Danio rerio: one gene and its partner. The protein of the gene in region 1 purifies or fractionates together with the protein of each later gene. This does not show direct contact. Links are inferred from orthologs where the notes say so. Each region holds a gene or a part of one and is shown in the gene's direction. Other genes may lie near its edges. The genes, in order: ankrd28b and ppp6c.

Region 1 (3,831 bases):
TGTCCTCACCTCTATGAGCATTCTGATCAGTTACTCTCCTTGAAATAATATTAATCTAGTGGCAATGCATGATTTATAAAATAAACCAGGGCTAAGCATAAAATACATAAAATAAGTTTGCTTAGTTAAATAAGTGTTCTAAGCAACCTAGAAAGCACTAAATTGCTATTTTGAAAGTGTTTTCCTAAATGTATATTCTACTAAATTGAGATTCTGCTGCTCTGACTAATTTAGAGATGTACCTATTTAATCACAAAATGCTCTCTGCACATCAGCACATTTTAAGCTTGTTTGACAGCCGTGTGCTTGTTTTACATTGCTCCAATTACTATAAAACATGTGCTGTTAATAAAAGAAATGCACCTAATAACTATTTTGATACATTAAGGCCTATTACGATATCCATTTTTTGTTGAACGATATATATTGCACTAAAATATTTAGCGATTAAATGATATTATTGTCATTTTAAGACTATTTTATGCCACTCATATAACGCCAAAATGACAATATTACATCATTATAATGCAAGGTCACTCTTCCAAAGTACACATTTTATTCTTAAGAATATTTCATTTAACTATAGTAATAATGTAATAATTAGACATTGGAGTCAGAATGTCAAAATGTATGTTCTTAATAAATAATAATAAATGTTAACAAAAAATTGCAAGGTAAAATGTAACAGAGCCTGCGGTATCTTTTTTACTATAGTAAAATTTACTATAGTAATTTATTGTAGATCCTATAGTGTTTTTTTTTTTTTTCTTTTTTTAAACCATACTGACACTGTCCCTACTATTAGTATATTGCTTCACCAAAAATGATTGAGGTAATTTCCATGTCTTGTGTGATAATTCGATAAATTGATTATTGTAGCAAGGAAATCAGTGTTCATTTGAATTATTTAGCCGGCCATGTTTACTGTTCCAAAATATTATAAATCTTTCAAAAAATAAAATATATGCTTTTTAAAGGGGAAAATGTTTTATTTTTAACCCAGACATTTAAAAAGAATATATTTTAGAGCAGTAATCACAATACCGTTAAACCATAATATTTTTATCCAAGGTTATCATACCATCATAATCTTATACCGGCCCATGCCTAGTGTGGACATATCATGGTCAGAAGTAGCTTTATAGAAAATAATAGATAGAACAGATGTAAAAAAGTAAGAAAAATGACTAACAATGCAATTTGGAAAAATTGCAAATGATGGAAGAATAATTGTGGTTCAACTTGCACATTGAAAAAGTTTGGAATGCATATTTGATACATAAGAAATTAAAATGCATTTTCCTTTGCTGGTTGTAAACGGACATTTGCAATCGGTTCATGTGATCGGCCAGATTAGCGAGTACCAATTGAGTTCTAAAATGTGATTATCGGCCGATGCCGATCCGTCAGACCATCCCTAGTATTTATCTCACTAATTGAACACTATTTTCTCTTCATCCAGAGTAAGGATGGTAAAACTCCCCTACATATGACTGCAATCCACGGGAGGTTCTCAAGATCTCAGGCCATTATTCAAAACGGTAAGTCTTCAGTTTTACAGTGTACATTTATCAATGTGCAAGTGTGCAGTATCTGACTACATCTTGCTTGGCTGTGTGCTATATGTGTAGGTGCTGAGATAGACTGTGAAGATAAGAATGGGAACACTCCTCTGCACATCGCAGCCCGATACGGACATGAGCTTCTCATCAACACACTGATCACAAATGGAGCTGATACGGCCAAGTATGAATTTACATTGCTCTCTGCTTGATAACTACTTAACTTGGTAGCTTTGTTTAATTCAACATTTACTAACTGTAGACAGGCGGGTGTAGAATAAATTCACTATTTAACCCTTTTTGAAAATCTAAGAATGTTGTAATTGATGATGCATTAGGGCTGCATGATATTGGAAAAAAACTGACAGTGCTATATTTAGTTTTACTGCTAAATGTTGTAGCGATCTGACTGGGTAGGGGTGCCAACTCATATATTTATAAGTAAAAAATAAAAAATAATATTTATAAAGTCAGTGCTACATGGGATACAGAAGCAGTGCAATAACCCTAGTAACCCCTTATAGAGCTAAAGACAAAATAAATCAGACTAAACCAGTTTAAATTGCATTCTACTAATATTCAATTAGGTCTCCTTACAACCTCAAAATAACACTATATACATGTTTTACAACAGAAAAAATTTCAAACCCATTTCAACAAGCATTTGAATAATTCAACAAATCAAATGCACAAAACAAAATAATAATAATAATAAACCAAATAAAGAGGTACCTCTGTCGACTTGAAATTAACTTGATCCATGCACAAGATTAAACCACTGATTCACATCAATTTGTTAGAACCTTACATTCATTACTGTTATACAGAAATTCAATATAAACAATTCAAACAGTTCAATGATTCAGTCGGTTCAACATTTCAATGATTCACTCGGGTCAAACAATTCAACGATTCACTTGGTTTAAACAATTCAATGATTCATTCAGTTATAGTAATCAAGATGCTCAGTTTGTTTAAACAGTTCAATGATTCATTCAGTTCTAACTAAGATGCTCAGAGTTCGTCAAACAGTTTAATGATTCACTCGGATTCAATAACTCAGATGCTCACAGTTCGTTTAAACCGCTCAATGATTCATTCAATTCTAACTGAGATGCTCAGAGTTCGTCAAACAGTTCAATGATTCACTCGGTTTCAATAACTCAGATGCTCACATTTCGTTTAAATCGCTCAATGATTCATTCAGTTCTAACCGAGATGCTCACAGTTCATCAAACAGTTCAATAATTCGCTCTGTTTCAGTAACTCAGATGCTCACAGTTCGTCAAACGGTTCAATGATTCACTCGGTTTCTTTAACTCAGATGCTCACAGTTCGTTCAAAAAATTCAACGATTCATTCGGTTCTCGTAACTCAGATGCTCACAGTTCGTTCAAACAGTTTGATGTTTCACTCGAGAGTACGCTTTTGCTCATTCCCTCATAAACCATACATGAAGAGAAATAGTTAAGTTGCCGTAGTGCCGTAGACGTACTGCATCGTCGTCTGTTTTAGTCACAAATTAAAGTTAGATCAGCTCACCAGTCCGAAGGTTACAGGAGTTAACCAAACAAACACATTGTCTCTCAGCCAGACGATTCCTTTCAGCCTGAGCCATCATTGCCTGAGCTTCTAGCCGAAGCTCCGCATACTCTCTTCTTGGTGAACAAACACTTCCTTCTTTTATCCATTTCCCATGATAGAGAGGGGTTTTTTAAAATACATCACGTCCTATGTGGACATTAAGTGACCGCTTTCAGCTCGCCACAATGTGTTGCGATTAATTTTTCAAATATAATTTCACAAGTTGACTCTATTTGGAAAGAATTTATAGGGGAATTACCAACCTACGTCACACGGATTCTACCCCATATACCGGTTGCAAAAAAAGACTGGTTGCTATAACAAACATGTCGTGTTGTGCAGTAGGATGCCAAAATTGAAAGTCCAAAAATAGAAAACTTAAATTTTACCGTACACCACACTGCTTTTAATGCCAACCGCAGTCGTCTTTGGCTAACAGCCATCATAAGACCTAATTAAAAATGCTCGACTTTGCAGTTCTTATTTTATATCAGGTAAGTTTACGCTATGCTGAATCATACACCTATCTCGTTTTTGATTGCAGCAATGATTTCAGCAAAAACATTAAAATATTGTTAATTAAACTGCGGACACAGAATGCTTAGAATGAAATGTAAAAATGTAGGTTCACATACCCTGCTGTACAGGTGCAGTTTTATGTCAGAATGCAGTTGTTTTCTTGTTG
Region 2 (4,382 bases), on another chromosome or scaffold:
AACTTTTTTTAAAAAAAATTGTCCAAATGAAGTGCTGTAGCCTACTTGTTAATCTCATACATTGGGTATCATGACAGAAAAACTTATACTGTGCTCATTTTTGTATTTGTATTTTGTTTTATCTCCCATACTGCCAAAACCTGACAACATGCAACATGCCAGCTTCATTGCATTGACAAACATACACGTAAGCTGGTTATGCCCAGAACACATGAGAAAAAACAATGTATTTACATAATTTGAATAAAGTTTCAAATATAAAATGCCATTTAATATGAGATACAGAACATATGTAATATTTGTAAGCTGTAATATGATATATGTTTGATAGTAATTCCTGGACAGCCAGTTGTTGTCATGCTTTATCTGAACAATCCATTGAAATTTGTTTGGCTGTTGTCTTAAAATGCAGCAGAAATATATGTAACTTAATGAAATCAAGACGGTAGACTCATTTTTATAATAATGTATTGTACTTTTTTAATTTGTGATGTCTTTTTTCTCTTGGTAATTCAGTTCATCTATTGTATAAACTATTTGCAGTGGTCATCACTTGGTGGACGGTTCCTGATGTTTCCAACTAAAGCATACAAATAAAAGCAATGTAATAAAAGTAATGTATGAAATCATTTTTTTATTAATTCATTTTTTTATTGCAATAACAACAGGCAATTTTAAAAGACTGAAATACAATCAGATAGAAGTATAGCACAAATAATATAAATATTTTTTCAACAAGAGAAAAGGGACAATTTTAAAGAAATATAGTAAACGTAAAGCAAAAGAAAGACAAAGAAGAAACAAAAATAGATGAGAGGGCACATGAAAAAAATAGACAAATTAATGCAGGATATCAAATAAAGCACATATTTTATAAGTTTTAACTGCTTTCTTGTTATGAGAGTCTGTAGTGGTTTTCAAGTGCAGTTGTTATTCTCATTTGGCTTACATTGAGTATATTTACATTTATGAATAAAAAAAACTTTATAATAAATAATATGAGGTTTACAAAAAGTTGAAATAGTTTTTTCTTTAATATAAAACCCCAAAATGACATGTAAAAAGAAAAGAAAATTCACCACACACCTTTTGGAGAGAAGGCTACGCGTCAAGCAAACCTCTGTTGCCACCTCGTGGTCAGTCAGTAACTTGAGAATGTTTTTATAATAAGCCGAATGGAAGCAACCGCAATTGAATCACTTTAAAAAAAACTTTTTTTAATAAGCAGGCTCTTGCTAAATTAGTTTTTCAAGTTTACTTTGAGAACGCGATGAACAGAATGTAACGACTTTGCAAGTTCCATATAAAATCTGGCCTGCGATTGGCTGATCATCTTGTCAATCATCACCACTCTGTGTGACGTAGAAAGACTTCCTCTTCGCGTCTTCCATCGACTGTTGTTCTTAAAATGGCGCCGTTGGACCTGGATAAGTATGTTGAAATTGCGAGGCAGTGCAAATATCTACCAGAGAACGACTTAAAGGTGATTGATCTGAGTAATTTTATGTTTCTCTTAGAATATTGGACATGCTAGCGATTGATGTATTTATAAACTCGTGTTGGTTGTGGCGGAAGGTGTTAAAATAGCAGTGTGTCAGTGCAATGCAGTCGCTGCGTATGAGTCCAGTCTATTATCTTATGTTCCGGGATTGATTTCATTCGTATTTTCAGAAATAATCGTATATAACGTTACGACCGTAAGGACAGTTGGGCATAACAAAGTTGTGTAAGGGACTATTTTCTTGCGGACACATAGGGTGGCTAACTTCTGTTGCTATCATGCGAACTAGTTTGAAACGCCCATTTTATGCTTTCCATCATCAACCTTGTTAAATCTTAATTCATGACATCTGCGTCTTTGTTAGCAGGTTTCAGGTTTGATTAAATCGTCCTCCATTCGTTTGTTTTTAAATATAATTCTTGTACGTAAACAACTGGGCTTCTGGATCAGTTCATAATGATGCAATGCAACGTCTTACCAGTTTCATCCAGTACCGCCAAATATGACACAAAAATAGCAACAGTGATCAAACAAATGATTATACGATGTTGAAATAATGTGGCTTAGGAAAAAAAGCTCATTTTTAAATTAATAAATGTGACCTTAGATGCGCCGCTAGATCTGCTTCTGTCACCATCGTTGATAGCATTCACTTGACAAACTTGTTCAAATCTTGTCTTCATTTCTATTGCTTTGACAGAGATTATGTGACTATGTATGTGACCTTCTGCTTGAGGAATCAAATGTACAGCCAGTATCCACTCCAGTCACTGTATGCGGGGACATTCATGGACAGGTGTGTGTGCAGGCTCCATTAATGCATCCCTGGTATTGATGTTGAGCTGATGTCGTGTTTTTGTAAAAACATGCATACTGACTAAGCTTTTTTTTTTCTTTTATAAATAGTTTTATGACCTATGTGAACTCTTTAGAACTGGGGGCCAAGTACCAGATACAAACTACATTTTCATGGTGAAGTATATTACAACAATAATTTTAATTGATGATTTGTGATTAGTACTGCGTTGGAAATTGTTCCACCATCATCTATTGAGGAGACATTGGTATGTTTTCTTTCATCCAGGGTGACTTTGTTGACCGAGGATATTACAGCTTAGAAACATTCACATATTTGCTAGCACTTAAAGCAAAGTGGCCTGACCGCATCACACTGTTGCGTGGCAATCACGAGAGTAGGCAGATTACACAGGTCTATGGCTTTTATGGTAAGGCTGCAGAAATCAGAGATTTTGAAATATTTTGTTTTGAATTTACTTGGGATTTTAATTGTTTTGGCTTTCTGTCTACAGATGAGTGCCAAACTAAATATGGAAATGCTAATGCCTGGCGATACTGCACTAAAGTATTCGACATGCTCACTGTTGCTGCCGTAAGTGTTGATTTTGGAATACCTATCTGTCTGTCTATCTGTCTGTCTGTCTATCTATCAATCACACATCTCAACATTATCAATATTTGTTTTGGTCTTCTTACTAATGGGCCTCACTCAGGAAACACATGTTTTTGTTTAAATCAAATAATTTTAGGATGTTTTTGTTTAAATCAAATAATTTTTGGATTAATGAAACTGTTTATATTTCTAAGTATGAATTGGTATAAAAGAAATGTAGGAAACTATACATCCAGTTATTGTCTTGCGCTTATCCGGAGCTAGGTCATTGGGGCAGCAGTCTCAGGAGAGAACCTCATACTTCCCTCTCTCTGGGCACTTTCTCTAGTTCCACTGGGGGATCTTAAGGTATTCCCAGGCAAGCGAGTGACAGTTCCTTTAGCGAGTCATTGGTCTTCCCCTTAGCCTCCTCCTGGTGGGACAAGTCCAGAACAGTTCTAGGAAGCATTCAAAATAGATGTCTTGGCCACGTCTCTCCATGTGGAGTAGCGACTCTACACTGAGTCCCTCCTAAGTGATAGAGCTCCCTCACTCCATCTATAAGGGTACCCCCTGCCTCTCTGCGGAGGAAGTTAATTTCGACCACTTGCACCCAAGATCTTGAATTTATAGTCATGACTATAGGGCTGTGTCCGAAATCGCATATTTCCCTATTATATACTATGTGGAAAATCAACATGTAAGTGGAGCAGTTTGTCTTAATTCATATTATTTGGAAAAAACAGTATACGAGAAGTACTTGGAACACCTCTTGCTTCCAGTGAGATTGTGAAGTGTGCATCCGATAACCTCTACACTATCCTATGCGCGCTGTTTGTGTTGCTCTGTAATAACTCTTTCGAAACGCTAGCTGGCAGTGAGGTTTTTATGTTCCTCTGTGTCGAGTTTCTTCACTGTTTTTTTTTTTTTCGCTACCTCAATGTAGAACAGGGGTCTCAAACTCAATTTACCTGGGGGCCGCAGGAGGCAAAGTCTGGGTGAGGCTGGCCCGCATAAGGGATTTCACAAAAAAAAGTCCTCAAATGTCATTATTAACAGTTTTAATTATTTCTTCTGAACATGAAGTGTCCTGAACATTAATAGAACATTGAGTGAAGATTATGAACAGTTCTTCTGAACATGGCATCTTTTGCCTACTCCTTGCTGCCAGAGACTTGACAGCGCTTCTTCTCACAAATCTGAACCACATTTGGCTTTAGAGCGGAAGCAGTTGAGACCCTCAGTATGGCTTGGGGGAACTCACTCAAAACTTCCATTCCCTCACCTAAAAAAAAGGCGTATATGTATAAATAAAACACCCCCACCCCACTCCAGTCACATCAGTCTGTACCAGTCTGTATCTACCTATAATATATATAAGATGCAGGCTGTAGCTAGGTAGGTGGCAGGCTGCAGATAGGTAGCCAAGTGGCAGGCAGGGGCTGGAACAGCTTACCTTGGTTCTGGCCGGCGCGAGTTCCCTCCTAACAC

Evidence for each region.
Region 2: the proteins of ankrd28b (region 1) and ppp6c purify together in Homo sapiens (affinity purification with mass spectrometry; 9 studies listed by BioGRID and IntAct, with this or other methods). This does not show direct contact. The link is inferred for Danio rerio from reciprocal best matches to the Homo sapiens genes ANKRD28 and PPP6C.

Annotation. Positions count from the first base shown.
Region 1 is NC_133191.1:21,476,772-21,480,602, forward strand, and holds part of ankrd28b (serine/threonine-protein phosphatase 6 regulatory ankyrin repeat subunit A), read left to right. Parts: intron 1-1,462; coding exon 1,463-1,541; intron 1,542-1,631; coding exon 1,632-1,746; intron 1,747-3,831. UniProt on the Homo sapiens protein: Regulatory subunit of protein phosphatase 6 (PP6) that may be involved in the recognition of phosphoprotein substrates. Involved in the PP6-mediated dephosphorylation of NFKBIE opposing its degradation in response to TNF-alpha.
Region 2 is NC_133180.1:32,597,118-32,601,499, forward strand, and holds the start of ppp6c (serine/threonine-protein phosphatase 6 catalytic subunit), read left to right. Parts: upstream 1-1,331; 5' UTR 1,332-1,408; coding exon 1,409-1,483; intron 1,484-2,201; coding exon 2,202-2,297; intron 2,298-2,407; coding exon 2,408-2,473; intron 2,474-2,585; coding exon 2,586-2,727; intron 2,728-2,811; coding exon 2,812-2,891; intron 2,892-4,382.